Lepisosteus oculatus: one gene and its partners. The protein of the gene in region 2 purifies or fractionates together with the protein of the main gene of each other region. This does not show direct contact. Links are inferred from orthologs where the notes say so. Each region holds a gene or a part of one and is shown on either strand. Other genes may lie near its edges. The genes, in order: sin3aa, skia, hdac3 and E3 ubiquitin-protein ligase RMND5A.

Region 1 (7,827 bases), on a different chromosome or scaffold from region 2:
GACTTACCTTAATTTAAATGCTGTAGCACTTTCCTAACTTCTGAAAGGACCAACATCTTACTAAAATAATTTTCCAAAACTTGTTAGAAATGTTAATATCTTTGACCCCTGTAGCATATAAGGCATTATCTGCTTGGTATTATTTAGACAACGTCTCTGCTGACAAAGTTTGCCAAAGTAAGTTACAATTTTCTCTCTGAGGCCTTGTAAAACTGATTCTTGGACATGACATGACTATGCAATCAATATCATGGAATGTTAACGGACTGTAAAAATGCATTACTGTATTTCATGGGCAGTCATGTTCAGTTTGCACAAGATGCTTTGTAAAGTGATTAACTTGGTTCCTGCAAATGTACTAAATCTGCACGTACACATTTATTTTTTCAAGCTGCTACATATACACAAATAGGTTCAGTAAATATCTGTTCATGGCAAATCATTTTCACTTGCATTAATACCCCTTTGCTGCTATATATTCAGATCATTAGAGAGACGAGTAAGTTATTTGCGGTAGAAAACAGGGTACAAATAGTACATGACTAGAAAGGACTAGAATTACAGTTACCACCCGAGCCTGTGAAATTCGACTGAGACTTTGAGGGCGATAAAGGGCACTTTTAAGATTTTTTTGCTTTGGAAGAAGAAAAGGTTACATTTCAAAAAAGCCCTGCTGCACTTCACCTTTTTATCATTCCTAATGCAAGAAATTGTATATGACCAATAAAGTGATCTTATCTTCTCATTCAGCACAGCTATGTGAGTGGCTCCAAATGAGATCTTAAGACAGATGAATCTGAAGCAGACTCAGAATCAAAAATGATTTTTACAAACTCTTTCGCCAGTCGTCAGGTTAACCTCATTATTTAAACTCCAACTGACTTGATGACTTAAGGCTAAAGTTAATGACAGAATCGAAGGGCAGATTCTAGGGTGAGTTGTGCCACGAACAGTAATGAACAGCTTTGGGGTCACTGGAGAGGAGAGCAACAGATCATCTCAGAAAGGAGCCAAGATCTGATCAGTGAAGACAGTAGGCAGCTGTATGGGTACAGGACCCCCATCCGCCAAAATTCACTAGCAACGAATCAATACCACTCTGGGAACGCAGTGTATCTCAACCCCCTGAAAGCGCGGCGATGTTTCTTTCCACTCGACCACTGTAATCTACGGCGGCGGGGGGTACGAGGAGCAAGACAAGCGTTTAGTCTCTTGGGGGTGGATTCACGGCATTTTCGGCGGCGCAATTTAGTGATGTTTTCTCCCGACTTCGTTTGCTTCCACCACCACGGCCACCGGGCAACACATGCTGCGGATCTCGGTGACGTCACCGCAGTCCCACCAACGTGCGCGGTGTGTACGTTCAATTCCCGGGCCAGGTGCCCCCCCCCGCCGACAAGCAGGCAGGCGAACTGCTCCCCAGCACCGAACAATGGTCATTTAAGAAACTTAACTCACGGTTTCCACCGCAGTAACCCATCGCGGGCGGAGGGAACGATCAGCCGGATACCACACGATCTTGCCTTCCCAAGCGCCGGGGGGGAAAAGCACACCCCTGACTGCGCTCAAGATCCGAGTCAAACCAGGCGGGGGGGGGGGGGCAGATCCGATCTCCGTTATTTTTTTGCCCCAGCCCCCCCCCCGCCCGCCAGCGCAGTCTACCTGCTCCATCAAAAGTCCTTGAAACGATCGAAAAGACTCCGGACTCAAACCCACACACGCCGGCACCGCTGTCGCAACTCCGGGCTGTTGGGCCGGCGCTGGGATTGGCGCTGGAGGCTCAGCGGCTCACGAATGTGTTTTTTTTTTATTCGTGAAATCAAAGCGCTGCCTCCCCGGACCGTCCGCATCACGCCGCCCGGCCTCGCACCGCGGTCATTATTATTACATCGTGAGGATGATGCGTTGTTGTCCTTCCTGGCAAAAGTGCCTGGCCATCCGTCACACAACTCCTCAGCCCCATCGCCCCGCGGTCCACACAGCCCCAGGCGGCACACGGGCGCCTACGGTCGGGACCGCACGGCCAGGCAGCCAGCCTGCCACCAACTGACCCCCCCGGCCGCCGCCGTAACCAAAACCCTCCGATTCCAAAGCGTCTCGAAACCCTTTTTTCTTTCCTTCTTTCAAGCTTTTTTTTTTTTAATCCGAGAATGGCCAGTCGACCCCCCCCCCCCCCGTCCCCCCTACCTCCACAACTCTCCCCTCCCCCCCCCCGCTCCTGCGCGGCCTGCCTCCAAATCCACAAGCCCCGACCTCGCGTAGTCGGCTCGCCGCCGGGGGAAGGGAGTCTTTCTGAAAGGCTGCACCGCAGACACGTAGCTCGGGAGAACTACATGCCCTGCCAAGAAGGCACATGCATTTCGGAGGAGGACAAAAAAAACCCGATAAGCGTCCGTGACAAAGCAGTCATTTTCGTACGCAAGCCAAAGAAAGGGGGACTTTTAAGTATTCCCCAACAGTATTCATACAGATTACATTTCGGAGGCAGTCAATGCAGACACTACACATGCACACAGTTTGACCATGAGATCATAGCGAGGAAGCCAGATCAGAACAAAAACTATGCACCGAACCGGACCGATTTCGGAAGATCCTTCCATTTCTTTATCTTCATCCGAAAATCCCCCCAAAATAACCAAATTTGAAAGAACTCACCTCCTCGTAACACTGCGACCTGAAACAGAAATAACTCGGCACCTATTTTTATTTGTTTTGCTTAAAACTCTCCAGACAATAAAAACATTAAAATGAAAAAAACCCACGACCATAAAACAAGGCTGAGGACTGGGTAAAAGAACTTTTTGTGTCCAAAAGATATCAAAATAATAATAAAATAAACAACCCAGGCGCCAGACCGCAAAAGGAAAATTCTCTTCAGAAAACAACCTCCGTTCGTTTCTCTACCGAGAGGAGGGGCTCCGGGAAGGTGGGCTAATCCCCGCCCACCCCGGCGTCTCATTGGCTTCCGCCCGAAAGAGACCGAAAAGGGGACGTAACCTCCTCTCTCTGATTGGCTGGGGGTCCTGTCACTCCATGTCGAGGGGAAACTCAGCCTTACCTCACAAAGGGGCTGAGCTGCGGCCCGTCACTCATCCTTTGCTAAAGCACCGCCCCTTATTGAAATCCGGAGAACCGGGGCTCCGGGAGACTAGGGGTTGCTGGTAGGAGGGCCATGTGCGTACATACTTGAACTACACAACATGTCTGCTTGGCTCAAGACCCCGTCGATCACGTAAGAAAGGGTTACGCCTCTCCGGTTGAGTTCTAACAATGCTCTGTCGAGTGGACCTCCATTAAACCGACTTTTTTTTTTTAGAAGGAAGGAAGGGCTGTATCGAGAAGTGGCTCTCATTTTTTTACGTTGATAACTCAAGCTTCCTGTGATCTCAGCTTTGGTTTCGATTAACGCCTCGATGCATGAGCATTTTACTTCGTAACTGAAGTGTACAGCGGACTACTGAGTCGTTCTTCTCAAAACAAAACCGGGAAACAACTCCGCTTTCGAGCATGAGTTGACGAACTTGTGGAACTGAAACACTTCAACTCCTGCATGGAATTAAAGCACAAGTCGCTTTTGTTTACCTCAAACACTGAGATCTGACCAGCCACTATTCCATCGAGGCAGCGTTTTTTTTACGCGGTTGTCTTTATGAACATAAACCTTATGCAACTGACATTTCAGGCAAATGGCAGATACGTCCTGTAAAAGTCATTTCACTCTGTATAGGACACCTTTTTTCAAAATACGTACATTTTCCCTATTCAGAAAGAAGGGTGAAGCGTTTCTGTTCACCATTTCCGTAGATCTATAAAGTACACTGTGCTTATATTATTCTTTCATCTTTTCATTGTATTATAAAGTGTTAATTTTCCTGCCCTCGAAATAAAAACCAGTAACAGAAAAATCCTTATAAATTAATTAAACTGTGGTGTGGGCCTTTCCTTAAAAGTTATCAAGATTCTTCAATGTTCCTGCACCTGTGGGGATCTATAGACCACCTGAATTTTGTTCCAGCTAAAACCTTGGTTACATTATACATTAAACGTGAACCCTTACCTGATCTATTAATAGGATTGATGTAAACCTTTTTTGTGGTTCCTAAACAAGATTGTTTTTTAGCATCTGGTTCATCGGTAACTTAAGAACTCCATCTTTTTGAGTAAAGAAAAAAACGTTCAATGTTTCCAATCGTGTAAACTGTTACTGTTAGTTCAGTTAGGGGCTGAATCACATAAAAACGAGTACAAGTCCACAGCAGTTCGACTGGAACTTGTTCTAAGTGCTAAAAAGCAGGGGCAACTAGTGTCACTGTCATGCAGTCACAGTAATGACAGTAGGTGTATAGATGTATTCTGATATTCTTCCTGAATGTGTTTGGCCAAGTTCCTTTCCTTACGAGATACATTACCTCTAGCAGACCTGTTCAGGGCCGACAATGAGACATGGATCAAGGGTCGCAATTTGGAGTTATGGGGACCAGCAACCAAAGTTGGCAACAAGAGTCACTCTTTTACACAGGGATTGTAGGAAGCTGAAATAAGATGCCTAGCCATGTTGTCAAATCTGATAACCTGGCTTTTTTCCCTGGCAGTTAGCGAGTAAGATCACTTAACTACAAACAACAAAATGAGCTACATGGGTTGAATCGCCAACCTCCCGATAATAATCTTTCATTGAAAAAAGGGTGAACATTTTTCAGATTGAGTTGTGAACTCAACAGGGTGAAATTTCATTTTTTTTATTTTATTATTCAAGTCCTCATTCCTAAGCTAAAAAAAAATGCATAGGCTACACATAAAATGAGAAGCGTGAATCTTACAGGTGTTCTCAATACAGTAAAAGACTGGTGAGATAAGTGCACATAAGAACTCAGGGCACACTGCACAGCAAAATAAACGCCAATTCTTCACTGCCATTACAAGATATATTTATAACAAGACGCATTTTAGCTAAATCTGTCAATAGAATAAAATTAATAACATACGTGTAAACGAAACGTTACTGATACAAAAACAATGTTACAATAGCATGCAATGTGAACGATAGAAAAAATAATTGCTATTGCACCAAGATTGGTTCATTGGTGAATAACATTCAAAATGGTAGCTGGCTAGTTATCTCCGGGTTCAAAAACTGCGAGTTTTATGTTGTTGAGCAACTTTGGTATAGGGTCAAATCAAACTATGCCGTATAGCAACTAAATCTGAAGCGACGTGAAAGAAGCACACCTACAACCCGTACATGCAGATTGACTCGTGTGGGGAGTTACGAACGCGAGGTTCTGCCAAAACCTGCAACGACCCCAGCCTGGATTGAACACGGACTTCCTGAATTTATAGGACCCACGTGACTGACCTGCGTAAATGTGTAAAAGCCAGCGCATCACGTCATGGGAGGGCCCTCCTCGATGGGCGTGGCCCGGCCTCGCCCAATCAGAGTCCGAACTGCGATAATTACCCCCTCCCACACGAGGCGGAACTCGGAAATAAATCCCCGCCCACGAGGGGCGGGACTAGAAAGCTGCCCGGGATTCCCAGCGTCTGAGGGACCTGACGCTTTCGCTCCGAAATCTTTGCGGGTTACCCGATCGTCCGTCCCTGCTTTACGCACTCTTTCCTTCGTATGGGTCTTTGTGAATGGGGATTTGGCAAGATCTTAGCTTTTTTTTTTCCACCCCCCCTCCATCTGAATTTCTTTTCTATATAAACAGTCAAGCGGGCGCCACACAGTACTGCCATGAAGCGCTTCACGTGCAGGAGAGCCGTAGCTACTTTAAAATTAATGCAATCGGCTCAGATCAAGCATAAGCACTTCACAGAAATGTGCATTCAACATAAATAAACATTACTGCACACACAGCTACTTGTTCTTACACTTGTGCTGGGGGGTGGTCGTTGCTGGCGATGTTGCGATGTTCTAAGCATTTAACCACGTAACCATTTTGCTACCATGGTTTTGTTTCAGCACGAATGCAATGACGAATACATTTCGGCTGGTGAGAAGTCTTCCGTCTTCACTCTTCGGACGAAAGTGATTCAGACCGGCAGACATAACGAATTTTATAAAAAAACATTATCATTAAAACGCCTCCGTATAATCTAAAACAAAGTTACCACTAGCGTAAGGCATTTCAATACCCTTCCAAACAACCAAGAGTACAATGAAATCGAAAGCAATGGTTTCTCTCAAGCGATCCGCTGGAGACGCGGCAAATCGGCTCATAAACGTCTTAATACCGGACTCGATTTCTTTGTTGTTCGTATTTCCTACCACGCAACTGGAGATCTTTGTCGAGAATAAACGTGACGACGGAGACAAATACACACTTGAAACGGACGGTCTCATTGCCACAGATACATTTCTTTGCGTTAAGCCAAGTCTTAGCTTGGTTTTGTCCAGCGAAAAATATAACTGACAGCAGAGAGGGAAAAAAAAAGATCAGGATACGTGAATATCACAAAAGATAACCGTGTATGGATTCTCGATTTAAATACGCATCAACAGTAACCCGCAAGTAGACTTAACAGGGAAAATCCGTGTCTCAACATACAACCCTGCAATTCTTTGTTTACTCCTATTTTCGGAGAAATATTTTCAACGTTTTCGATACTGCTGTCCTCCAGTGCATATCTCTTTCCTACACGTTTTGCATTTCCAAGTGTGAAAAAAGACCTGCATTGCCCGGCTTCAACATCGGCAAAATAAATCAGCATTTGCAGAACCCTAAACTACAAATAAAATAAAATGCCCCCTCCTCTTCCACACAGCCCTTCCTGCTTTCTGAATTTGTTCATTTTCAAACATCGATAACACATTAGCAAAGAAAGATCAAAAGGGGCGCCCTCTTTAAGTAACTACCCCGCGAGCCCGCAATCGTAGCCCACTTATTTTATTGCAAAGTTTGAGTTTTTAAATTGTAATTATTTTTGTTTTAACAGCTGTTACATACCTAGAAAAAAGAAGCCTCACACTCCGGATTCGTGTTTGTAACAAAATAGTTGAACACGCCCCCTTTCCTCGGCATTGGAGAACACGATTCATTACGTCATTGTTATTTAAATATAACCCGCCAAATACTACCTGAAATGCTGTGTAGTCCTGCGTCTATCAAGAGATGCTTGGTTCACCCTAAAAAACTAGGCCTGTCGTACAAAACATAACATAAAAAACAAGTGATTTTAAAGCTACACCTGGTCATGACATTTACAGTAATACTTAGAACGGTCTTTGTAAAGTAAGCTCTTGCAGGCCTCTAAATAAGTGTAAGCAATTATTATTATTATTATAATTAAATGTCTTAATGCTTTTAAGAGATGGTGCCTGTAAAAAGAGACGAGTAAGACGTGCAGTTTCCGTGAAGTCCCAGGTAAACAGCACTCGTGTCCGTCTGTCTTCTCTGGAGCTTTTTGTAAGGACATCTGCCAACAGTCCACCCTGAAGCCGAAGATTTTTATTTTTAAATAATGGAACACCACACATATAGAGATTTGATTCAAAAATGAAAGGATGGCATAACCACACGAGATTCATACAATGCAATCATGAATAAAGACCGTAGTGAAGCCCTTCAATCCAAGTGATTAGAACTGAGAGACCAATTCAGTCCAGTTTTAAGACTTGGCATCTACCCTTAAAAAAACATTCAGGGTCTTTGTCATCTTATATAATTTATTACTAGTGCACATTCCTATCATTTTGCTTATATAATTGTTAGCAGTACAGATCAAGATTAAGACCTATGACAATCTAAAATGTAAACAGAAATGAAAAGATTAAAATAAAACATTAGAGTATATCTAGTTTGTAGAACTAACCTACTGTAGAAA
Region 2 (7,303 bases):
TGGTGTTTTATGTCTTCTGTAAGTTTTTAAAACATTTTTTGTGGCTGAAACATTGACGTTTTATTTTCCCCTCGGACAATAGAGAGAACACAATAAAATGAGAAAATCACGGGATTCTGGGATTCTACAGTCAAATAGAGGGTTATGTGGGGCAAATAACCTCTGTGAGCTATCTATTCACCACGTTGTGTTAAACTAACACCGAGGTTCAGGACTTTCACCGAGCCCTCGTGGCAGACACAACATTTGGCATCTTTCCCACCAAAAAGCACCGCTGTTGACCACCCTCCGTGAATCCAACCTTTGCTAAGTAGCACATCATTAAGCGGGGATGGGCCCGTCATTAAAAACACATTCACCTCCGAATACCTGAGATTCCGATGTTAAACATTTTCACATTTTCAAAACATCGCAAAAGGGCGAAAGGCAATGCAGAACTCGGAGAAGAGGGAGAGGAGTAAGCGGGCAACAGTAGCACCTTGCAGAGGGAGGGTGAAAGTGGTATTTTTTCCATGCGAAGCGTTTTCAATGAAAATCTCCGTTGGTGTTCCTGATATAACATAACCAGCTGTCAATCCTCTTATCTCTTGAAATCTATGGAAAACCCAAACAAACTGTGCTTCAAGAAGAATCAAACTCTGATTATTATTAAAGGCTACTATTAGAATACATTCATTAATGCATACTTCTTCATATCAGATAGGCGTCTGTGTTTACCGCGGATTTGAACACTCTAAGAATACGAATGCGCATAAGAAGACTTTCACACCTACTAAGACAGGCTACTACACAAGCAAATAATGGCTTTATAACCGTAAAGGCGTTTAGTTATTCTTCGTAGCTAATTAGTAGCCATATGTTAACTTTAAATTAGGTCATTTCAGTTGTCGCCCGAATCTTACTGCTTCATCCGTTTCCCATTGAAACGTCATGAATGGTTACATAGTACGCATTTGTTTTTCAATGTTTTGGATTTTCAGTACCTAACAAAAAACAAAAATACTCAAAGTGACAACTGTTTGTTACATTTGATAATGAACTTCACCACAGCTTGCGCCAGCACACACTTTTAATGTTGTCAAGTGACCGCGCTAGGTGTTACGGTGTCCCGCAAAAACAACATCCCGACTCGCACCCGTCCCGGTGGCCAACGGCGAAATATCTTTTTTGCACAAATGACGAGAAATGATTTAAGCCCCCATGGTTTGATTCTTCTCGGCTAAAGCGACGAACACAGCACATCGGACCCATGCACTACGCGAGGAACGTGGAAGCCTCCGACGAGAAAAAAAAAGTAATACATTCCGTCTAGCAGGAAGAGCTGAAGTTCTGCACTGCGGTGCAGTATTGTTATTTAGTTAGGAACATTTCTTGATACGACTAAAAAAGCATTAGTCACATACATTTCGTGAATTAAGCTTCAGGTGAACATTTCGGCGCACTCGATCGGTATAATCGGACCAAGCTGTCCCGTAAACCCCGTACGGCTCCATGCACACCAACACGCAGCTCCCTGTCACAGCCCTTCAGTGCAAAAGGTCCGAGCATTTAACACGCCGAAACTTACCCTTGAGGCTTTCCTCTTGTATTTGTTCGCGAAGTCGAATTTCTCTTTAATTTCGTCTAAAAGCTGCCCGAGGCGCGCCTTCTCCTCTTTGCCCGTGTAATCCTGGCTGAGGAGGATGTATGCCCTCCAATTGGCGGAGTCGAAACCCCAGTGGCATGTCCTGTTTTCCAAGGATTTGTGACTGTGGACCACGAACTTGTGGGTCGGGTACATGAGCCTACAGTCCATGCACTGTATACAGGCTGCGTTCGGGCTCGTGTACAGCTCGGGCACGAAAAGTCCCCTGCACTTCCCGAAGCACTCGTGGTATACCTTGAAGCTTTTCTCCGTCAGCTCCAGCTCCAGGGAGCCGGAGAACTCCTTTTTGCAGTGCGGTGGAAAGGTACCCCCGTAAATCAGGGCATTACAGAGGCGCTCCGCATCCGTTTTGGTGATGAGGCCGCACGAAGGTGCCGAGAAGGGCAAAATCCCCATGACTTTAAGAATCTCCAGCTGGTCCGCCGTGCACCTGGAGCAGTAGATGTGGAGCTCGTCACACACGGAGTTGATCTGCTGAAGGGAGAAATCTCGCAGGACGGTGTTGAGGATCTGGGGCAGACAGAGCCGCTTCTCTCCGCCGACTACGAAACAAGAGATAGTCTCACTCTCCAGGACCGTCTCGCACCTTTCCGTGGAGCGGTCTGACGGGATGAAGAGGGGACCCGGCATCACAGGGGGCGGCTGCATAGGGAGATGAAGGACCGGCTCTGGGTCCTTGCCATCTTTCTTGTACAGCATATCCTGTTGCCATCTAGCTGAGAAGGCTGCCGGGCCGCCGAGAGAGCTCATAGAACTCAGATGAAACTGCTTCAGAGTTTGTTGCAGTCCTGGATGAGGTTGAAAGCTTGGTCGGGTTACAGTCTCCATGTTTTACTTACTACTTGAAAAGCGAAACTTCCTTTTGCCGGGGTAGAACTAAAGCAATAGATAACCCACACTGGTCCCGGTTCCTTGTAAATCCAAGGTCTCCCAGAGTTAGCAGAGGTGAAAAGGCGCTTCATCAAACATCCAGAAAGAAGTCCTACACAGTGCGCGTCCAATCCCCCGACTAAGCGTACGGTAACACCGGCGAGTCTTCCCCTGCAGTAGTAGGTTCCCTACTGTCCATATCCACACCAGTGCTTCTTTCTCAATCCACAATAAAGAAAAAAATAAGCGCCTCTCGCTTCCACAAAAAGTATCCACCTATACTTCTGAACTTTGTTTTTCAGAATTTCCCAAAACTGTAAAGTCCGTACACTCTTTGCCTCTCTTTTTCGTTTCTGTTTTGCAGTGGTAGAATTCACATCCACACTGTCTGCCCTTGCAGTAATGATATGCCTGTGCAACTACAGCCAGCCAGCCAACCTAGCTAGGCTTGCTTGCTCACTCTCTCTCTCTCTCCCTCTCCCTCGCAGCCCCCCTTTCTCAGTGTTTGTGTGTGTCTGGCTCAGTCATTGAATCCCAGCCAAGTATGTGACTGACTCCCCAGGCTGGCTCTTCCAAGAACATGTCGTCACTCCCCCTCTTCTCTTCTCAGCCCCGTGCTGCTGCAAAAGGAAGGAAAAAAAAGAGACTTGAGCACAGGGCATGGTGAATCACTTGGTTCACAGCTCAGAATGTCTGCAGCTAAACCGAGAGGAAGGGTGGAGTTTGCAACAGACGTCTAATTTAGACGTTAAGGAGAAATGCAAATTCTACGAGTGACTGCGGTTTATTTATTTTTATTTAAATAGACCAAAGTAGTCCTTTACAAACATTTAGTGACAGAAAGTAAAGCAATAAAGTCTGATGTTTGTCACATACAAGAATTTTATTTTTTTTAAAGTCGTGCTTACATATTTTTTTTCGTTTTGTTTAATCAGTTCCAGTGCTCAGTAGGTTCTATGTTCAAAGCGCTCTTAAACATTAAGGACACACGCGTGTAACGCAGAGGGGGAATCTTGGCCGATTTTTGTTTAATATTTTTTGCACGAGGCTGCTCCACCAATTTTCCACATCTTCTAGGTCTGCTAGTTCTGAACAAACCATTTTATTTAGTTGCAAAGTCCCTTCATGATGATCATGGTAAACTACGGGGGCTCATTTTGATCTTCAGGGCTTCATGAACCCCTGGCTTTTTTCAGACCCCTCGAATCTGAACACAGACCAGACAGTGCAGCAAAACACAAGGCGTATCAGCGTTTTTACATTCAAGGAAAACAGAGATTTTATTTCTGGATGTCTGTGCTTAGTGTGTACTGCAGTCTCAGCATGCACTTGCCCTATCGGACTGTAAACTGCAAATGCATTTGCACTCAAGGCATGTCTAACAATACTTTCCTTGCGGAGATTCTCCTTTGCTCCAGAGATTCTTCCAAAATGCTCCTGCAAAAAGCCACAAATAGAGCCGGAGTTCACAGAAAACCCTGTCTTGCCCCAGAGCTCCTATATGTGGTTGCAGGGAACAGAACTTTTTTGAGGTGGCACACCTTTGACTTCAACTGCCCTGGACTAACCATTCCTGATGACTTCTGATCATCACGGGGGGGCATGGAAATGATTCCCTGATATCAACAGCTGTTGACCATTCCGAAAAGGAGAAAGGATGCCTGCCTTTCTTCAAATCAGAGTGAAGAATGTAACTTAAAACATAAGTCCCCCCACCTACCACAGCACACACACACATACACATGTATCTTCAAGGCCAGCTTAGGAACACACATGGACTCTAAACTTCTGAACCAGAGAATGAAAATGGTGGGTGTTTGCACTTTTATAAGACCAATCCACCCACACATTCCTATTCATCTGAAACCAAGAAGAATTTGTTTGACTAAATACCTCCTAAGTCCTTTAATGGCTTAAAGTTTGGTACAGTTCCTTAAAGAATTCTTTATTTTGGAAAGGGCCTGGTGTTATTGTTATCATGCTCCTCGTTCTTTTTTTTTTTTAAATTGAGTTCTCTGTTATTGTTCTTGCTTCTTTTATTGTGTCTCATGGCCCTCCCCAAGTAGAGTTATGAACACCATAGCTAAGGCAGTCACAATGTACATTGATATGTGTCGCCTTTTCTTACCCGTCCAGTTTTACGAGTTACACAAAAAGGGGGTCACAGCAAGCATGGTCAAATAAAGCCTTAGAGCTGAAAGGTTTTAAAACCTGGATTTTGTCAAAGACACACTCGACTACCTGGGTGGACTGGGTGATGGATCGTGTTCATGAACTGCCCCAGAACAACTTGATTCAGGAGTTGCCCTTCCTGATGTGCTGATTATTGCAGTGGGGGGCTAATCTTATAATTAAATAGCATTTCTAGTGCTGTTTCATTTAAAGGATATGATTACACAAAAATACAAAACCGTGTCATCTCAGGATTTTTTCTTGGTTTTTAGGTATACCTTTATCACTTGAAAAGATTTTTATGCAATTAACAAGTGCTGCTATTTCTCAGATGAATGTAATCAATTTCAAAACTTTATGTGATAGTAATACATTAGAGTACATGTTCTGAGCTTTATTAAATCTACAATGTACAATTAAGGGAAATAATTAATACTGAACACATTCACACTTATAGCCTATTTTGTGCATGTGTTACCAAAAAAAACATGTAGAACATTTCTTTCAATTAATATTTTTAATGAAATAAAAGTGTTAAAGAGTTTGTAAGAAAAGTATTACCTTTTAATTAGATTTTAAAGCTTCACAACAACAAAACCATAAAAATGTCTGAGAAAAAATGCATTCCAATTTCCTCTATGCAGTGAAATCATTCCTTTCAGCCAGTTACACTGGAAATATGTCCAATTGTCAGAGACAATAAGTGGGATTGAGAAGCTAAACTGATTATTCTGTATCATTAGCTCCCTCTAGCAGGACAGTGATGTAATTGCACTGTCTGTGGCACTGGGACAGTCATTATGAGGAAATGGGGTCACCATGTCTAGTCAGGAAATACAGAGTGGGAGGAGTATATGGAGACAGATCCATATTGTAGTAGCACAGTAGGTTGATAAGGTACATTTATTTTTTATCAGGAACATTTTGTTGAGCTTCAAATGAAAATGCGCCTGTATAAATTCAAGTCATGTTTTGCCAGATTTGTCTTTTTCGGATATTTCAGGTGACACTGCTAAGCACTGCGCCATCATGCTGCCCCAAAATGAATATTAGTATTATTGATTTTTGTTACGATTGTACTGTTTTCACACATCCATATATAAATGATTGAGATAGCACATTTTATTGGGCGAAATAGTACATATTTCAGCTAAAGATTCTCATGACATTGTTTCTCATAACAAGATGTAAGTCACCACATGTTAATTTGTTCCTTCATTTAGTGATTACAATGTGCTTGAAAATGGTATTTTTATTAACATTGCACATGGAAGGCAACAGCAATAAAAACAAGCTTTGCAACCTCGTGGAATTTTTCATTTCATAAAGTGTACATTATTATGAAAATACTAAGAGAGACATACCCAGCAGAACACTGGGATTCACAATTCTCACATATCCTTTCACGAAAAGATAAACCCCTAATGGATAAGAAGAGTTAGAATCAGAAAAACCTCTGTTGCTTGGGACCACAACTTCAAACCAACTGGGGGGAAAATCCAAGCTGATATCTGTGGAGACTTCACATCTAAAATCTCGGATGTATTGCTTGATTCACATGAACTCATCACCCGCGAATAATACCCGTCAGCAATTATTATTAAAGGAGTGGGTTTCTTCACAGCGGTATATATATAGTAGGTCCCTGCTGAATGGATTTTATTAAAGAGAAAATAAATCCTGGTCAAAGGAACTATCATATTTTCTTCCTTTGTTCTTTTATCCGATATTTTATTGAAAACATCAAATGGCCTCCAAGCATTGTGTAAAACCGATGCAGAAGTGCTCCCAATTACTTAATAGAGGATAGTTTCTTGAATTGGAGCAAAGGAATAATTTTCCTGATGATAATGGTGATAATATTGTATGTTTCCCAAGGATCTAATGGGTCTTTACAGGCAGAAGAGGACTGTATCCACCACAGAAGTGTAGCTATCCCCTGTTAAATGGCAGCCAATTGACAGAGTTCCAACAAATTTATTAGCCAATTAAATCACATGTGGAAATTTAAGGGGTCGGGAATACAAAGATACTAGTATACGGATATCAAAAGCACCAGCTCTAGGCATTGAAATATCAAAGAACATAAGTTTATTAGTAAGGTTATAAATGAGAGGAGGCCATTTAGCACTTCGTTTCATTTGGTTGATATCAGTTAATTGACCCAAGGATCACTTTTGGGCTTTTCTTTGATGAAGCCACGTTATCAGCTTTGTCAGCCCTTCTGGGTTGCTTTTTCCAAATGTCCATATACAAAACATGTCCTCTATTCTCAGTTTTAAACACACATTCCCTGTGTGTTCCAAATGTTCCACTGTTGATTCTGAAGAAGTCCATTCAGTTTACTTTATCAATGTTTTTGAGAATAAAAATAGGGTTCTCCCATAGTCCACTCTGCTCACCACTAAAATGATGAACTTCTCTTACCCTGTCAGTATAGAACAATCCACACTAGAATACATGGGAATGTATTTGGTTGCACATCTCTGGACTGATTCCCAAGCAGAAATATCCCAGCTCTTCCAATTAATTCTTCTTCATTTAATTAATCATGGCGAAACTTCACCAAATACACCACAAATGTCTAAATACACCACATTGTTGTTTGTATCCATT
Region 3 (7,786 bases), on a different chromosome or scaffold from region 2:
AATCAACAGAAAGAGACCCCTATCTCTGAAATGCGAACAATGCAGCCCATTTAACAAGGAAAATGGAGTGAACGACAGCCTGACTTGCACAATGGTCCTGGAAAGAGCTCGCGCTTTGAAACAAGTACTCAGTTGGGAGCAAATCCAGATGAGATGCACGTTCTCTCGTCGAAACCACCACAGCACCGAGCGGACCTGCATGCTCCTCTCCTGGCTGGGTGCACAGCTAACAAGAGCATTTTGCCTGGGCAGACAGTACCTTGTGGTTTAACTGCGTTGCTCCCTGCAGAGAGGCTCCCGTGTAGCGTGAGCAGAACTCAAACAGGCCAGGAAACACAGGACTGGGCAACGACAGGAGACAAGAGCATTAACTCACACATAACGGAGTACTGAGAATGACTCCACCACTCACCATCGTGATTATAACCATCGCAAGCAACTATTCTGCACCAGCAGCCCCAGGACATAGCAGGCCTCTTCTTCTCACAACGATGTCTTCTTTTTAAAATGTCTATAGGCTTGCTCCCATGTGAAGAAGCAAAACCAGATTGTAAGCCACGCGTGTTCAACTGAAAGAAACGTTCTGGACCAGAAGGCAGTTTTCTGTAGCTCAAGAACGAGGCTGTGAAACATGAGACACCAAGCTATAACCTATAGCCAAGTACAGACAAAAGCCCAATCAAGCAGGCAGATCCATTCAGGACAGCCTCTTCTTTCCACAGAGATGTCTTCTTTTTAAATGTCATCGTATTTCTATAGGCTATAGGCAGGACACACCCTGGTCGGGACACTAGTCCACCTCTGGTTAGACAGACTCAGAGACACACTCACACAGGGGGGTCAACTTTCCCAGAAGCCAATGTACTTCCCACTATGTTTCTGGACTGCGGGAGGAAACTGTACACATGTGCACACCGGGGGAACATGCAAACTCCACACAGACAGCGCACCAGATTCAGAATTGAACCCAGAGCCCCAGCTCTGCGAGTCACCAACTCTAACCATTGCGCCCACCGTGCTGCCTGCAGGCTTGCTAGCATATTTTCGTATTTGAAAAGACAAATATGTCCAAAGACAGAATAACACCCCTGTACTCACCAGTCATCCCCAACGTTGAAGGTGTTGAGACTTTTGGTGAAGCCCTGCATGTTGTTGGGACTGACCTTTTGCAGGAAGTCGATGTAATCTTCCGAGTGAAAGCGGCACATGTCATGTTGGGAGGCTTTGTATGGCTTGAACACCTGAGACAGACAAAGACTTCAAGGGCACTGTATACTGTACAAAGAGTACAAACACAGCCGGTGTGCAATGGTACCAAGGGGTCTGGATGCACATATATCCAACCAAGGGTTGTATATACAGATCATTACCTGTAAATACTCTGGATTTAAAAAAAGGCCCAACAATGCAAATACATATACATATTTATATAGATTCTTCTTTGAACATTAGCAGTTGCGGGCCCCTGACCTACACTGCCCTCCACATCTGCGCAGGCAACATCTACATTTCTACTCCAACTCCGTGTCAAACTCTGCCTCATGTGCAAACACTTCTGTAACTCCACACATTTTTTAGATCGTGTGGGCCAAAAACGCCTAAGGCATAAATTCATAACACACAAAATCATTAAAACCCCTTTCTTCAAATGAGATGAAACTCCTCACTGCCAAAATTAATCTTCACTTTGGGGAAAAAAACATACCATCATCTTCTTGTAGAGCCCATAGTGCAGAACAAGACTGTGGGTGAGAGAGAGTCGATGGGGTTTCATTGGGTGTCCAGCACCTTAAAAAGGGCACAACCAAAATGAAAGAATTATTCATTGGTATTGTAGAGTAAGTCAAACCAGAAGCGTAAACGTACAGAGGGTGGGAGAATGTGATGCGTTTGTCAATGAGAGAAAACTGCACATCGCCTGTCCTGGGAGACAACAATGTCCTTGGGTTTTCCTGTCCTGGATTCAGTGTTATTCCCAAGGCAAGATGTTGGTTCCAGGTGCCCTTGTTTTCTCCTACAGCTCAATCTCGGGCTTACACATTAACTGGCATTTCTACGATTTCCCCTGAGATGGACTGGAAATCCCTCATCAGTTCACCATGAAGCAATACTGCACTGAGCAGCTACTGTACATAAATGAACAAATTAGCGGTTTAAGCGGGATAAAAATGAAAGGGTTTGTCATCTTGTCAAAATTGATTATTAAAACCTTTCTTATTCAGCCTGTCGGGCCCAATACATACCTAAATAAGGATGTCAAAAGTAAAAGCAACACAACAATATATCCCTCGGTAATTTCTACCACAAGCTCTGCAGCCTTGTGACGGCACGAAAAGCTATCTTTCTTTAATTTGCCGGTTTTGATTTTTGTTTTTTGTTTGCTATGCGGAGGTACTGAAATACAAATCGACGATCCGGCCGTCCGGATGTTAAAATGAAAACGAGGCGCCTGTGCACTTCAGAACCGCACATGTCAATATGAAAGGAGCAGACATATTCTAAAATGAAAATGGGCACTGGAAATAATATTTACTGAAGGAGAGGAGCTGTCTGAGTGGGTTTGAACTTCATAAAGGCTTCTGCAACTACAGCTGTAAATTAGTATAATCACCTGCAAAGTTCAGAAGGGAGATATCGATCATCACTCGTATAAAAGTTCAGGACCGCTGATAAATTATTTCACGTAGTAAGTAAGACGGTGGAAAGCTGGGGCTAAGATCGGAAATTTAATGCAAACGATAAAATAACAGTAGCCACAAGCCCATCTTACCGTAATGAAAGTTCCCCACGTCTGGGTCGTAAAAATACGCCGTCCTGTTCGTCATCACAGCGGAAAACGAACAGAGAGTGTCGTCCAGACAGCAGTGAAGGCAGTCCTTCTTTTTTGTACTTAATTTTCAAGCAGGATTTCTAATTCACTCTAATTCAGCTTTCTTTTTAATTTACCAAATCGCCGCCATAGTAAAACACGGGAGACCTGTGCGGGACGTCATCAGAAACAGCAGATGGTGTACTACGTCACGAATATGCGTACGTATGTTTATGTGACGTAGACGTCGAAAGTGGCGGGGTCTCGTATTAAGGAACTTTCATTTCTATTCATGTTTAAAATTGCGATTAAGCGTTTAAACATCTTTGCCTCGATTACCGAATATAGAATAAAAATAATTTCTGATATCGGAAATATTTCAAATCGTATTCTTATCGGTATTTTATTTTTTTCATGAGAAATTCCGTTTTTATCGTTGCGCGTCAATATGTCAATATTTGATATATCAAATATTGATATCCGCGTGTTAAAACATATTGAAATCAAAATCTGGATATCAAAAAGCACAGGTGATGATTAGTTCATATAGAAACACCATACCCAAATATGTTCACACGGCAGATCTGAAGAAAGTTATAATCGCACCAATCTACTATAAGAAATCGATTTTTTTACATCGATAAACGAGTATTACATTTTATAACGACGTGTAATGTGAAATGAGTATAAATTCATATGAATCTTCAATCATATCTGACCATACTATCTTCTACATTTGTTCCCCACCCCCACGACCCTTGGTGCAAAGACATGCCTCCCGTGTCACGGTTTTAGCTGCTTTGCCACGTAGTTTTTACTCGTGTCCCCCGATTCGTGTTTCACTGTTCATTGTGAAGAAATGTTTTGGTTTACTTTTTCCAGCGCCTTTCACGATTTCGAGTGTCGGGTCCTCCTGTATTCCTGTATGTTTCAGAATGTGTTGTTCAAGTCTCTCTATAATATTATACTATATATGCTAACAAATTCTGTAACAAGACTTCGCTTACTGGTTGTATTTACATAACTTTTAAAGAACCAGGCAGCCCATCACTTCCTTGAATCGGACAAAGTTTAAATTCCGACTTTAAAAACGCACAGCTTAAAAAAGACACAGGTCCTGCGTCCCCCCTGTTCGAAGTCATTCTGAGGATAATAACTGTTAGGGGAGTCCCGTGAAGAATTTTGTTTTGCTCCTTACAATCTAGAACATGTTATCTCGGTGTAGTGGGGTCTAAAATAAGCGAAACCACCCAGATTTCACATAGCTGCAGCTACAGTAATATTACCAATTCAGTCTTGCACAGCAACTACAGTGCTGATAATAAACAACACAGCTGCCACCCTGAGAATGACAGAGATACTATCCTCTATCCTTTATGGTAAGGGGTTTTAAACTTCCAGGGGTGAATGAAACTGCCTTCTCTATTGATATATTTCTATGCTGTTACAATGTTTTCAAGTCGTTTTAAAGCTCTCCCTTATAGAGCTGGTCTGTGTATCGTCTAGTCAGGGCGAAAGTGCCACTACGTTTCCCATCGGGCGTATGACATTTAAACGAGTATTGTGTGTATTTATTGTGTGTGTGTGTGTATTTATGAGCAAGCAAAATATTTATGGAAAAATGAAAATGAAATGGTGAAAGGGAAAGAAACTGTCTTCAGGTGTCAAAATATGTATGGTTCATTCCTTAACCCTAAAAAAAAAAAACTACTTTTTAGACCACGCTGGATGTACACTTTTTGTGTAAGAGTGAGTCCCCCCCTTTTCATATAACGAAGCAAAAAAAAACATTAACTTGAAATGCTATCTTTTTCTTTACATGAATAAACTCTTTTAAACACGGAGCAATACCGATGTAGTCGATACATTCCAAAAAGGGCAGTTTTTCGTTTCAGAAGGAGACTGATCTCACAGTGCACGCTGAGGTTCATTTACAGTGAAACGGTAAAGCGAGACCAAAGCACAATATATGATGATAGATACGACCGGTGATGAAATCGTTTCTGAAGTGAGGGGGTTTGCATATCACAGAAATTGAAAGAGGGGCAGCTGGCCGCGTGTCTCCTTCCGCACGCAGCACTCCCATCCAAAGCTTTGAGGTTTTTTCCCTTTAAATAACTTGCAGGAGATTCTCTCCCTCCCTCGGTGCGCCTTCAGAGCAGCGCTCGTCCGGATCTCGGGAGCACCGCGCCGCTGGATGGTCCCGCACAGGAGCAGCGCCGTCCAGTTGTAAGCACCCGGTAAGCGCAGGTTCCTCCTCTCTTAATCTGCCGTTAGGACGAAAGGGGCGACTAGGGGGCTTCACTGAACAGCAGCCACTTGATCGGCGAGGCCAGCGGGCGTGCGGGGAAGGTGGGCGGATGAGAGAGCTGGGTGCCTTGGCTAGTGTTTGTGATGCGGGGCTGCAGGAGCAGGGAGAGACGGCTGTGTTCGTGAAGCAGAGGGCTCGTCTTGCAGTTCCGTCTCATCTCATCTTCGGGGCAGCAAACGACCATTAAGCATACTGTACTGCCTTTCCTATGACGTTCTTACGCCCCTCAGACTGAGATTTTTTTTAAAAAATATATATATATTTATAGGATTGTTTATTTTGAGTGGGAATGGAGAATGCTATTAATATTGAATTATACCCCCCCCACACACACGCAAACCATCCCACACTTCGCAGAGATAAAAAGAAACATGTTGAAACGGGCTTATTGGTGAGACATTGTGCCCGTATTTGTGACTGTCTTGCCACGGTATTAGACGGCTTTCAGCAGCGCCCTACTGATGCAGCCCACGGTGTCCCCGGAGTCTGACTCCAAGCCCAAGGGCAGGTGTGTCACCGGCCGCGCTGGGCCCACCAGATCATTATCAGGGATCAGAAACTTGGAAAAGATGCAGGCTGCAGCCTGCATCTCCCTAGACCCGCGCACGGTGTTGTTTTTCCTTCTCTTCCCACCCCTGGAGTCTCTCTCTCTCTTTTTTTTTTGTCATGGCGACGCGAGGTATTGGAAAGCAGTTAAGTGACAGGAAAACCTTTTTCTTTTTAAATAAAAAGACCTTGAACACCGTTTTCGTGTGACATCAGGGCGCGGAAATTAGGAGCGTGTCAGTGTGTGTGTGTGTGGTGGTGGGGGGCGGTGTATGTGAAACATTTAACAAACAAGGGTGGTTTTAGTGCAGAAGGGAGAAAGTTAACCCTTTCGATTTAATCTTCATTGAAAAGCAACGAAGCTAGATTCTCCGCAATTCGTGACGCCCGTAGCAAACAAATCATGAATTTGTACATAAAGATTTACGGTAATATTGTTTAAAATTAAACTGCCTGTTAATTTTATTATTATTAATAATAATAATAAATGACACATTGTAGCATTTATTATTTTCCAGTTGCATAACTCACAATGCAACTCTAGAATGAAGTTATTTCTCGCATTAGGGATTGATGGAATTTTTCCACAGCTGGCCACTGTGGTTGTCATGTGGATACTGTATTAAATCAAGGAACCAGACAAATTCTCATTTCCCAAGAATCCCTGACCGCTAACAGTCCTCACATGAGAAAAAGTACAGAGCAGACGGGATGCTGACCCCAGTCCATTCAGGCATTTTCAATTGGTGCCTGTGTGTCGTTTTTTTTAAATAATGATTTCAACTTTGCGTCTTAATGTTCACTAGGAGTGGAGGGTGTGGTTACAGTTGACTCCGGTTTGTACCTGCTTAGCCGCCTCCGTCTACTCTAAAGCATTCAGGATGTGATTTGAGAATACATTCTTCCTTACCCGTTTTGTTTGTGATTTGGTATACGACCATCATCAGTACGCTAAACGCGCCGAAAATATGTTTTACAAGGGCCGTGGGTTCATTTGGAAAATAATGCTGTTGTGCTCCAGGTACAGTACAGTACAGGCGGTTAGCCACGCCAGGCAATATAACACTTAAAACCCAAGGTCACCATTACTGGCACAACAACACATGCAAGTGTGCTTTATCGAAAGCCTGCGAAGATGTTTACAGGAGAAGCAATCTAATGCATCTGTATCTTTTGCACGGGCAGGGAGCTGCTGTAACTTTGCTTGGTTACAGTGTTTACTGTTACAGAGTTCTACTTCTCCAGCTGTATAGAATCTTACATGAGGACGAGGCACAGTCACAGGGAGCTCAAATGCTTACCATTTACCCTACAGTTGCTTAGACACCTCTGCACATTATGAAGCATTAATGAGCAGACTTCAGTGTTTCACAGCAACAGTAATTATGGTCGAGCCAGGACAGACAAGGGCAAACAGTGCTACCCCGAGGCCAGGCTGTGAAAGCTGAGCCCTGAAGGACAGACGCAGCTAAATCAGTTCATTAGAGATAAGAAGAACTGCTGTACATGCTGGGCAGTACTTAGCAAGACTTCATAATTAGCTCACTTACTGCTGGATATTTTATATTTTCAAATACAGGTGTAAAAAACAGTTTTCTGTTTTTAACCTTGGCTATAGAGGATGATGTTGCAATCTAACCTCTTGCTGTGGCAGTAATAATATCATCGTGATCACCCTCATCATCGACATCATGAACGCGTTTATTCCAGACAACGTCAGGGGCACACTGTTTCTGTTTTGGGACGAAATGTGTTGAACATGCAATCATTTCAGAACGGTAACGGTTTTCTGTGTCTTTTTACAAGCAGCGATTCAAAACTCTTTCCAAAAACGTTTGGTTCCCCGAAAGGTGCAGAACCCCAGAGGGTGGCACAGTGGGGTGACAGGTCACGTGCTCTGTGCTGTCTAACTCACAGCCGGGAGCTGTTTCAGCGAGTAGCACATGAAGGAGCAAGCTGGGGCGGTGCGTGCCGCAGATGTTTGTGTGCGGGAGTGTTTTGAAGGCCCGGGCTGCTCCCTCTCGCTGTTTCAGGGAAACAAGGCTGTTTTTCTTCCTACGGGTCAGACAGGGATCAAAGGGTGGAGAGGGGAGGGGGGAGAAGGCAGTGGCGTTGGGGGC
Region 4 (6,862 bases), on a different chromosome or scaffold from region 2:
TTCCTCTGCAGATAACACACGCTGATGAACTCCCCACTGAATTTTCTTTAAACACAATACATTAGTAGGTTTCTTGCACAAATACTGTTGACATCCATTAGCACTGGCATGCTGCCTTTGTTGATCTCTGTCTGTTCCTAAAGCAACCAACCCTGGGTGGCTCTAGGAACAGACAGAGCGGTTCATACAGTGCCTCCCATCCCCCAGAAAGAGGCATGCGTGATTGCAACATGTGCATGCACAACATGGAAAATGCTACTATTTCACAAAACAAAAAGCATTTGCAATGGCAATAAGGTATACACTACAGAAATATGCAAAGGAACAAGCAACAGGTTTATTCCATGCTGGAAAAAAGAAGAAAGAAAGCACGACGTTTCGGCCATGGAGCCTTTTTCTTCTTCTACATAAATATTATTTAGATTTTAAAGAAAGTAATTAAAAAGTCATTTTAAAACAGTAGCAAAGGATTACTCCAGAATTATGTTTTGACCTTTCCATTGTTGTAAGCTTTTTCGTGTGGGGAAATTCTGGAATCCTCCCACAGTCCAATGACATACTGGTGGGTTAAACGGCTTCTGAGAAAACTGGCCCGGGTGTGGGTGTGTGTGTGTGGGTGTCTGCCCTGTGATGAGACTGTTGCGCTTCTTGCTTGCTGGGATAGGCTCTAGCTCCCCCATGACCCTGAACTGGAAAAAGGGGTTAGAAAATGGATGGATGGATGGTATTCTGATTTTCATGCTGCCTAGAGGTGTACTCGCTTAAGGCACCATGTGTCGACCTTCCCTGCAGGTCTGGACCTTTTGACAAAGAGAAGGCACACTTGCTTTTGGGGGCGGTACTGTAAAGGAGACTCTATTACCCACTGCCTGGCCCAAGCTTATTTTATTTAAAGATGGCATTTTGAAATCTGAAGATTCAGATTCAAAGAGGACACTCTGTTTGGAGGGAGAGATAGTTATCTGAACCTGTATCTATTGAATGGAATTATATTCATGCTATATAACGTGTTGTATATGTTAGTACCACAATTCGTCTACGTTTCTATATTGATATCTTCAGAATTATAAAAAAAGTTATACGGCCTCACAAATCAACGGGTAACTTTAATTATTCAAATAATTCTTCTCCATCACTTTGAAAACTCGGGAATTTTGTCTTTAGCTCTGAGGGAATGGACACCTTCGTTTTGTGTTTAGGGACAGCAAAACAAAATATCACAGATATAATTTAAAAAGTGCTGTATAGTACTGGGTCAGATAAGACAGACATTGTTGCTGAGGGGCTGCGAAAAAATAATTCCTGTTCAGAACTAAAACTGAACGGGGTACCAAGCTAGACACGTCCACAACTCTATAATAAACACTCTCTTTTCATCCCAAGAACCATTATGCTTCGAAAACCTTTGGGGAAAAAGAACAAGGAAAAATCCCGGACGTTTTACGATATTTGAAAATTCCTTGGAGATTTAAGGACCAAAAAGGATGACATGTCACGGCATGTCCATGAAAAATGGCCGTATAGCAGTCCAGGTATAACTGTAGCATAGCGATCGATTATGTAGCATATTAAAACGTCGTTCTTCAATTCGTTATGGAAACAACACCTCCCGATACGCAATAAAGCAACAGGTCTGGGGAAATAAGTATTTTCCCAAGTGGCGCTTGTACGTTGCTGTACTAAACCTTTGCTCTTCGTGCTCTAAAAACACGACCATGTGATATGTTATAGTAGACTCCTGCGCCAAAAAACGTTTTCTTCAAACTCACCCGAACACATGTTAAATGAAAAGGGTGTCGCTAAAAGATCATTTGCACTAAACGTCTTTATTAAGAAGCCTAAGGTCTGTACCGAGTATTGAGCCACTACTATTTCCCCTGTACCAGAAGGAATGGAAACGATCAGTACAGTTAAGGAAAGCCACATACAACCATCACTACACAGGACCTTCCAATACAAAACACAGAAACGGCAAGTTTAAAAACACTTAAATGATAAGCACGCTTTTGACTTCTATCGGGTTTTCAGCGCTTCGTGGTTTCTTTTCAAAATGTTAACTAGTGGATCATATCCGCCACAATGTACAGTACCAGTACTACACTGTAGTTACTGTACCGGGTGTTTTGCTGCACTGAGACGAGACAAAATCGTGAACGCAGAAAACACGTGACTACTCACGGAGGCAAGAAACAAACAGGCCTAAACGAAACTGTGCGAAACCGCAATCCTGCGGAACTGGCACGTTTACAAAGCAATCGGACATCGAAGTTTTCTACACACCTAACCTGGCTGTAGGCCTTCGCCCATACAACTAAAACGGGCTGACCATTTTTCATGGGTCTGGAAGATGATCTCACGACAGCTCGATAAACACAAAGATGACATTCCACGTTTCCCTCATCAAAATATAAACTCACCGCCAGTCTGTATTATCTCGTGTTTCAGGCCACTGGTGTACTCGATCAGCTCTTCCAGTGTCCTATCGCAGTGCTGCCCGTAGCTCGAGAATTTCTGCAGCACTTTCTCCAGCTCCCGCTCCACATTAACACACTGATCCATGACGCTGCTCGTCTGCGCTACAGAAATACAATCAGAATTTAAGAAAGGGAAAGACACGCAGCGCCAAACACGCACACGAAAAAAAAATCAAAACCAAAACACCTTCACCTCAACTTTGGCGTAAGCAGAATGTTTTTGTTTTTAATGGACCTGAACATTGACCCGATTTCCAAGGGCGACACCAACAGGCTGGCACACAGGGGGGTGCCGAAAATATTAGGACCACGCGAAACATAACCAATTTTTCAGTATATACCTAAATGCAAAAATATATCTAAAGGAATAAGGTAGAATTTGTAGAAGCTTTAGTTACCTGCTGTTCTTAAGCAACACAGCACATTTTTATCAGTTATCACGTCCCCTGCTGTACCACGTGACAGGACCGAGCGAATCGCGTGACTGAGCGTAGCGGAACTTCCGTTTGACATCCCGAGTCCGCTCGGTCCGTGGCTTGTGTTTGTTTACCAATTTACGAAACTTCGTAATGATGTTTACAAATCGAAGTTTGTGTGACATTTTGAATATAGCTCCCTTCATCAATTCAGTGTGTAGTCATATAGATTTTTTATCCATTTATTAATGACCTACACGCACATTTTATTAACTGTTTGGCAGTAATATTATCGAACTACTCTGAAATCAGTGACGCAGCGAAGAGTTGCGCTGAGAATGTGGTTACACCAGAACTGCCACCGAATGCATTTAGCGCTCTGCACTTTGTGCATACTGATATGAATTTTGATCACATTGGTTTAAAGTTATGTTTTGATGATTATTTTACGTTTGACTAGCCAATTATATTTCAAATTAGTACTTATTTTGGAGAAAGGGGACGAAAATTAAAGAGAAGATGTGAAGCTTTTTATATTTATAAATGAGAGTTTGTGAAAAATATACACCTTAGATTTAGCAAGATTTTATGAATAATTAACAAGTGCAGTGATACACGTCTAAGTCAAGACTCTTAAATATTTTGTAAATGAAAACTTGGAAGTAATGTGTTATATACAATAGTGTGCAAAAGTCTGTGTTAATAATAATAATTACACTTATATAGCACTTTTCTGGACACTCCACTCAAAGCGCTTTACACCACCACCACTTCATCCATGTGCAGCATCCACCTGGATGATGCGACAGCAGCTCACCACACATCAGCTATCAGTGGGGAGGAGAGCAGAGCAATATAGCCAATTCATAGAGGGGGCTATGATTGGTAAGGGCCAATGGGAAATTTGGCCAGGACGCCAGGGTTACTCTTTTCAAGAAACACCCTGGGATTTTTAATGACCACAAAGAGTCAGGACCTTGGTTTTACATCTCATCCGAAGGACGGCACCTGTTCACAGTATAGTGTCCCCATCACTATACTGGGGAATTAGGACCCACATGGATCACAGGGTGAGCACCCCCTGCTGGCCCCACTAACACCTCTTCCAGCAGCAACCTTAGTTTTCCCAGGAGGTCTCCTATCCAGGTACTGACCAGGCTCACACCTGCTTAGTTTCAGTGGGTTGCCAGTTGTGAGTTGCAGGGTGATATGGCTGCTGGCTCATGTTGTGAGAATTAACAATTTACTCAAAGTCTCCACAAGTGTTGTGTAGTAGTATAACAAATAGAAGCTTGTCATTTTATTCATATTGGTGAGAATTAGCTAGCACCAGTATAGAAGAACTTGAGGTAACTTCCACATGAGTAGCACATATACAGGTAAGTGTTGTAGTAGTTAATTCTACACATTTAATAAATTTAATGAGGTTTTCCTTAGTGGGAATATCATTTAACAATAATAGTTAAATGGTCTGGTCCTTTGCTCATTTTACCCCGGACTAAATCAAAGACTTTTGGTGACTGTACCTTTTCTGTTGCTGCTCCAGTGTTATGGAATGACCTTTCTCAGACTCTACAACTTTTTTAAGATAACTTTTTAAAAAGCTCTTTGAAACGACTCAAAACTTTCCTTTTACCAAAGTCTACATCTGGTTGACTACATCTGTTAAACCCTGTATGCACTTGTTTATTTTTGTGTGTACTTTTTATTGTACTTTAATTTGTTTTTCTTTATTCATGATGTACAACGTCCTTGGGTTTGGAAAAGAGCTTTATAAATAAAAGTGTATTATTATTATTTATTTCTGTCCATACATCAATAAGCTTACAGGCTATGTTTGCATTGCAATATACAGATCTATCAGATTGAACTTATCTTAAAATGCAATGGCTATACTGTATATTCAAGAGAAGATAGCTTGAATTCTGTTTCTGCATAAAGCAGGGAAAACACTAAATGAAAAGGATAGAACAGTTTTACACAATAATGTGTATGTAAATACAGAAGAAAATAGTAAAGAAGGAAAATCACCAGAACAAGTCGGGCAAACATAGTAGAAAATACAAGTTCCTAAAATGTTTTTTTTTTGGAAGTCTTCACCCACTAGTGAATTGACTGAGATGGACAATGCTATATTTTTTTATTAATAACAGACACGATAGCCATGTAGCCATGCCATGGCTGAGACTTTTTTCTATGTGTATTTCAGTTACAACATTTAAAAAAAAGACAATTACTAATTTATCTAGGCACTACTTACTGCAGAGCCCAATAAAAAGTATGTGCCTGACTGATGATGACTGTTGTGTCTCTGCAACGGATGCGGTGTATTAACTCATTACATATATGACTATTTAATAATTTAATACAATAAGAAAACTGAGCTTTAAATTTCAGAGAAGTTTTGCCTATCAAACTACATGCTGTTTGGAAAGAAATTTAAATGAAAATTCTATACAGTTGCAAGAGAAGGAGAGGGAAATCACATTCTTAGTGCAAATGACTCACACAATTTCAACTGCAGTTTCCTCCGAGAGCATTCGGTACTTAATAGCTGTCTTAATAACATGTATAGCATCTGGAATATAAATAATATTTTTAAAGTGCTCATTGAAAACTCACATTCTTTGCTCCAAAAAGATATCAGTTATCCAACACTTAGTTGTACACAAAATCTATTTGACTAAAAACAAAGCATGTTTAATTGCCACTTTTAATACCTACTCTATTGTAAGAAGCTGATGTAGCAACTGCAGCTTCTATTCCTGCCTCATTTTGCCTATTACACATTCTGTATATTGGCAGGATAGAAAGCTGCAGTGTCTCTGCCATGTATGTTTGAGCATGTGGGTGTTCTGAGGGTTTGACATGGACACTGCTACACAACACAGAAGCGTTTGTTGTACTGTGAGACCAGATCTGCTGTTTTGTGAAGATATTTTCTAAAATACCATTCTTGGAAAATGTCAGTGCATTTTAAAACAAACCTTTTTAATGCTGCTAAACCCACGTTTTGCGATCTTTTCAATTTATATGCTAACATTAAAGTAATTCTGTTCCAGGATTCTTACAGTTTACATCACAACTCTACTAACCATATTTAAAGAATAAACACATCTTCTAAAGTCAATTAAATGTATTGTATCCAGACATTTTGGTCATGGTTCTTAGTTTGGTAAGTTTAAAAACGGTTTTAAATTACCACAGCCCGTGTAATCGGTTTATACTCTTACAGTATGCTGGAATCCAATGCGTGATATAAACAAGGTTTATTTTATTACGAATCCAAAAGCTTCGCTTCTTTTCCATTGGAAGAAAATGAAACAAGTCTCGTCGGTCCTTCCTGTCGGTGACGTCATGTTGTTATGCATGCCAGCTGATCTGGCAGGCAAGGCGCTCCAACATCAGCAACTGTAGGGACAACGGCAACTATCGCTTATCTAAAAATGCCGTGATCTGAACTCGTCATTACATGTCATGAATTTGCTCACAATTGGCACGCTGGGAGGGTTGGAATAAGCAGCAAAAGCTGACCATCTTATTGTTTTAGGGAGAGCGTAAATTAAGCTTTCGCACTGTATTTGATTTTTTTTTCCCCACACAAGACAACTTCTGAAAATGGTGGACATCCAGAGACTGTACAGTTGGCCTTAACGGGCCTTGTTAGCTCGCTGATCGTGGAGAGTGGATTGCTTCTTTGTTTTTTAAAAGTTTCAAGTTCAGCCAGCGCTAAAGGGGAAGCCTGCAAATGAAAGCAAGTCTTAGGAAGAAATAGACGAGCCCCAAATGCAACGTAGGTTACTCGCCTATTCCTACCCGGAAATCGTAGCGCCAGCGTTTTAAAAATATTCCCGTTGCAGCAAGGAGGTGGAAAATGTGGCTGAAGCTGTTTTTTCTGCTGTTGTATTTTTTGGTCTTATTCGTTCTGGCACGGTTTTTCGAAGCTGTCGTGTGGTATGAAACTGGTATTTT

The links.
Region 1: the proteins of skia (region 2) and sin3aa purify together in Homo sapiens (affinity purification with western blotting; 3 studies listed by BioGRID and IntAct, with this or other methods). This does not show direct contact. The link is inferred for Lepisosteus oculatus from reciprocal best matches to the Homo sapiens genes SKI and SIN3A.
Region 3: the proteins of skia (region 2) and hdac3 purify together in Homo sapiens (affinity purification with western blotting; 4 studies listed by BioGRID and IntAct, with this or other methods). This does not show direct contact. The link is inferred for Lepisosteus oculatus from reciprocal best matches to the Homo sapiens genes SKI and HDAC3.
Region 4: the proteins of skia (region 2) and E3 ubiquitin-protein ligase RMND5A purify together in Homo sapiens (affinity purification with mass spectrometry; 3 studies listed by BioGRID and IntAct, counting the BioPlex papers as one, with this or other methods). This does not show direct contact. The link is inferred for Lepisosteus oculatus from reciprocal best matches to the Homo sapiens genes SKI and RMND5A.

The regions. Positions count from the first base shown.
Region 1 is NC_090700.1:60,643,350-60,651,176, forward strand, and holds the start of sin3aa (SIN3 transcription regulator family member Aa), read right to left. Parts: upstream 3,020-7,827; 5' UTR 2,769-3,019; coding exon 2,656-2,768; intron 1-2,655. UniProt on the Homo sapiens protein: Acts as a transcriptional repressor. Corepressor for REST. Interacts with MXI1 to repress MYC responsive genes and antagonize MYC oncogenic activities. Also interacts with MXD1-MAX heterodimers to repress transcription by tethering SIN3A to DNA.
Region 2 is NC_090720.1:4,150,462-4,157,764, reverse strand, and holds the start of skia (v-ski avian sarcoma viral oncogene homolog a), read right to left. Parts: upstream 3,022-7,303; 5' UTR 2,474-3,021; coding exon 1,568-2,473; intron 1-1,567. UniProt on the Homo sapiens protein: May play a role in terminal differentiation of skeletal muscle cells but not in the determination of cells to the myogenic lineage. Functions as a repressor of TGF-beta signaling.
Region 3 is NC_090706.1:38,473,153-38,480,938, forward strand, and holds the start of hdac3 (histone deacetylase 3), read right to left. Parts: upstream 3,010-7,786; 5' UTR 2,826-3,009; coding exon 2,771-2,825; intron 1,789-2,770; coding exon 1,706-1,788; intron 1,242-1,705; coding exon 1,099-1,241; intron 342-1,098; coding exon 260-341; intron 1-259. UniProt on the Homo sapiens protein: Histone deacetylase that catalyzes the deacetylation of lysine residues on the N-terminal part of the core histones (H2A, H2B, H3 and H4), and some other non-histone substrates.
Region 4 is NC_090696.1:35,728,869-35,735,730, reverse strand, and holds the start of E3 ubiquitin-protein ligase RMND5A, read right to left. Parts: upstream 3,003-6,862; 5' UTR 2,988-3,002; coding exon 2,873-2,987; intron 2,755-2,872; exon of another isoform or gene 2,668-2,754; intron 2,577-2,667; coding exon 2,418-2,576; intron 1-2,417. Other genes in the region: E3 ubiquitin-protein ligase RNF103, read left to right, coding at 6,765-6,862.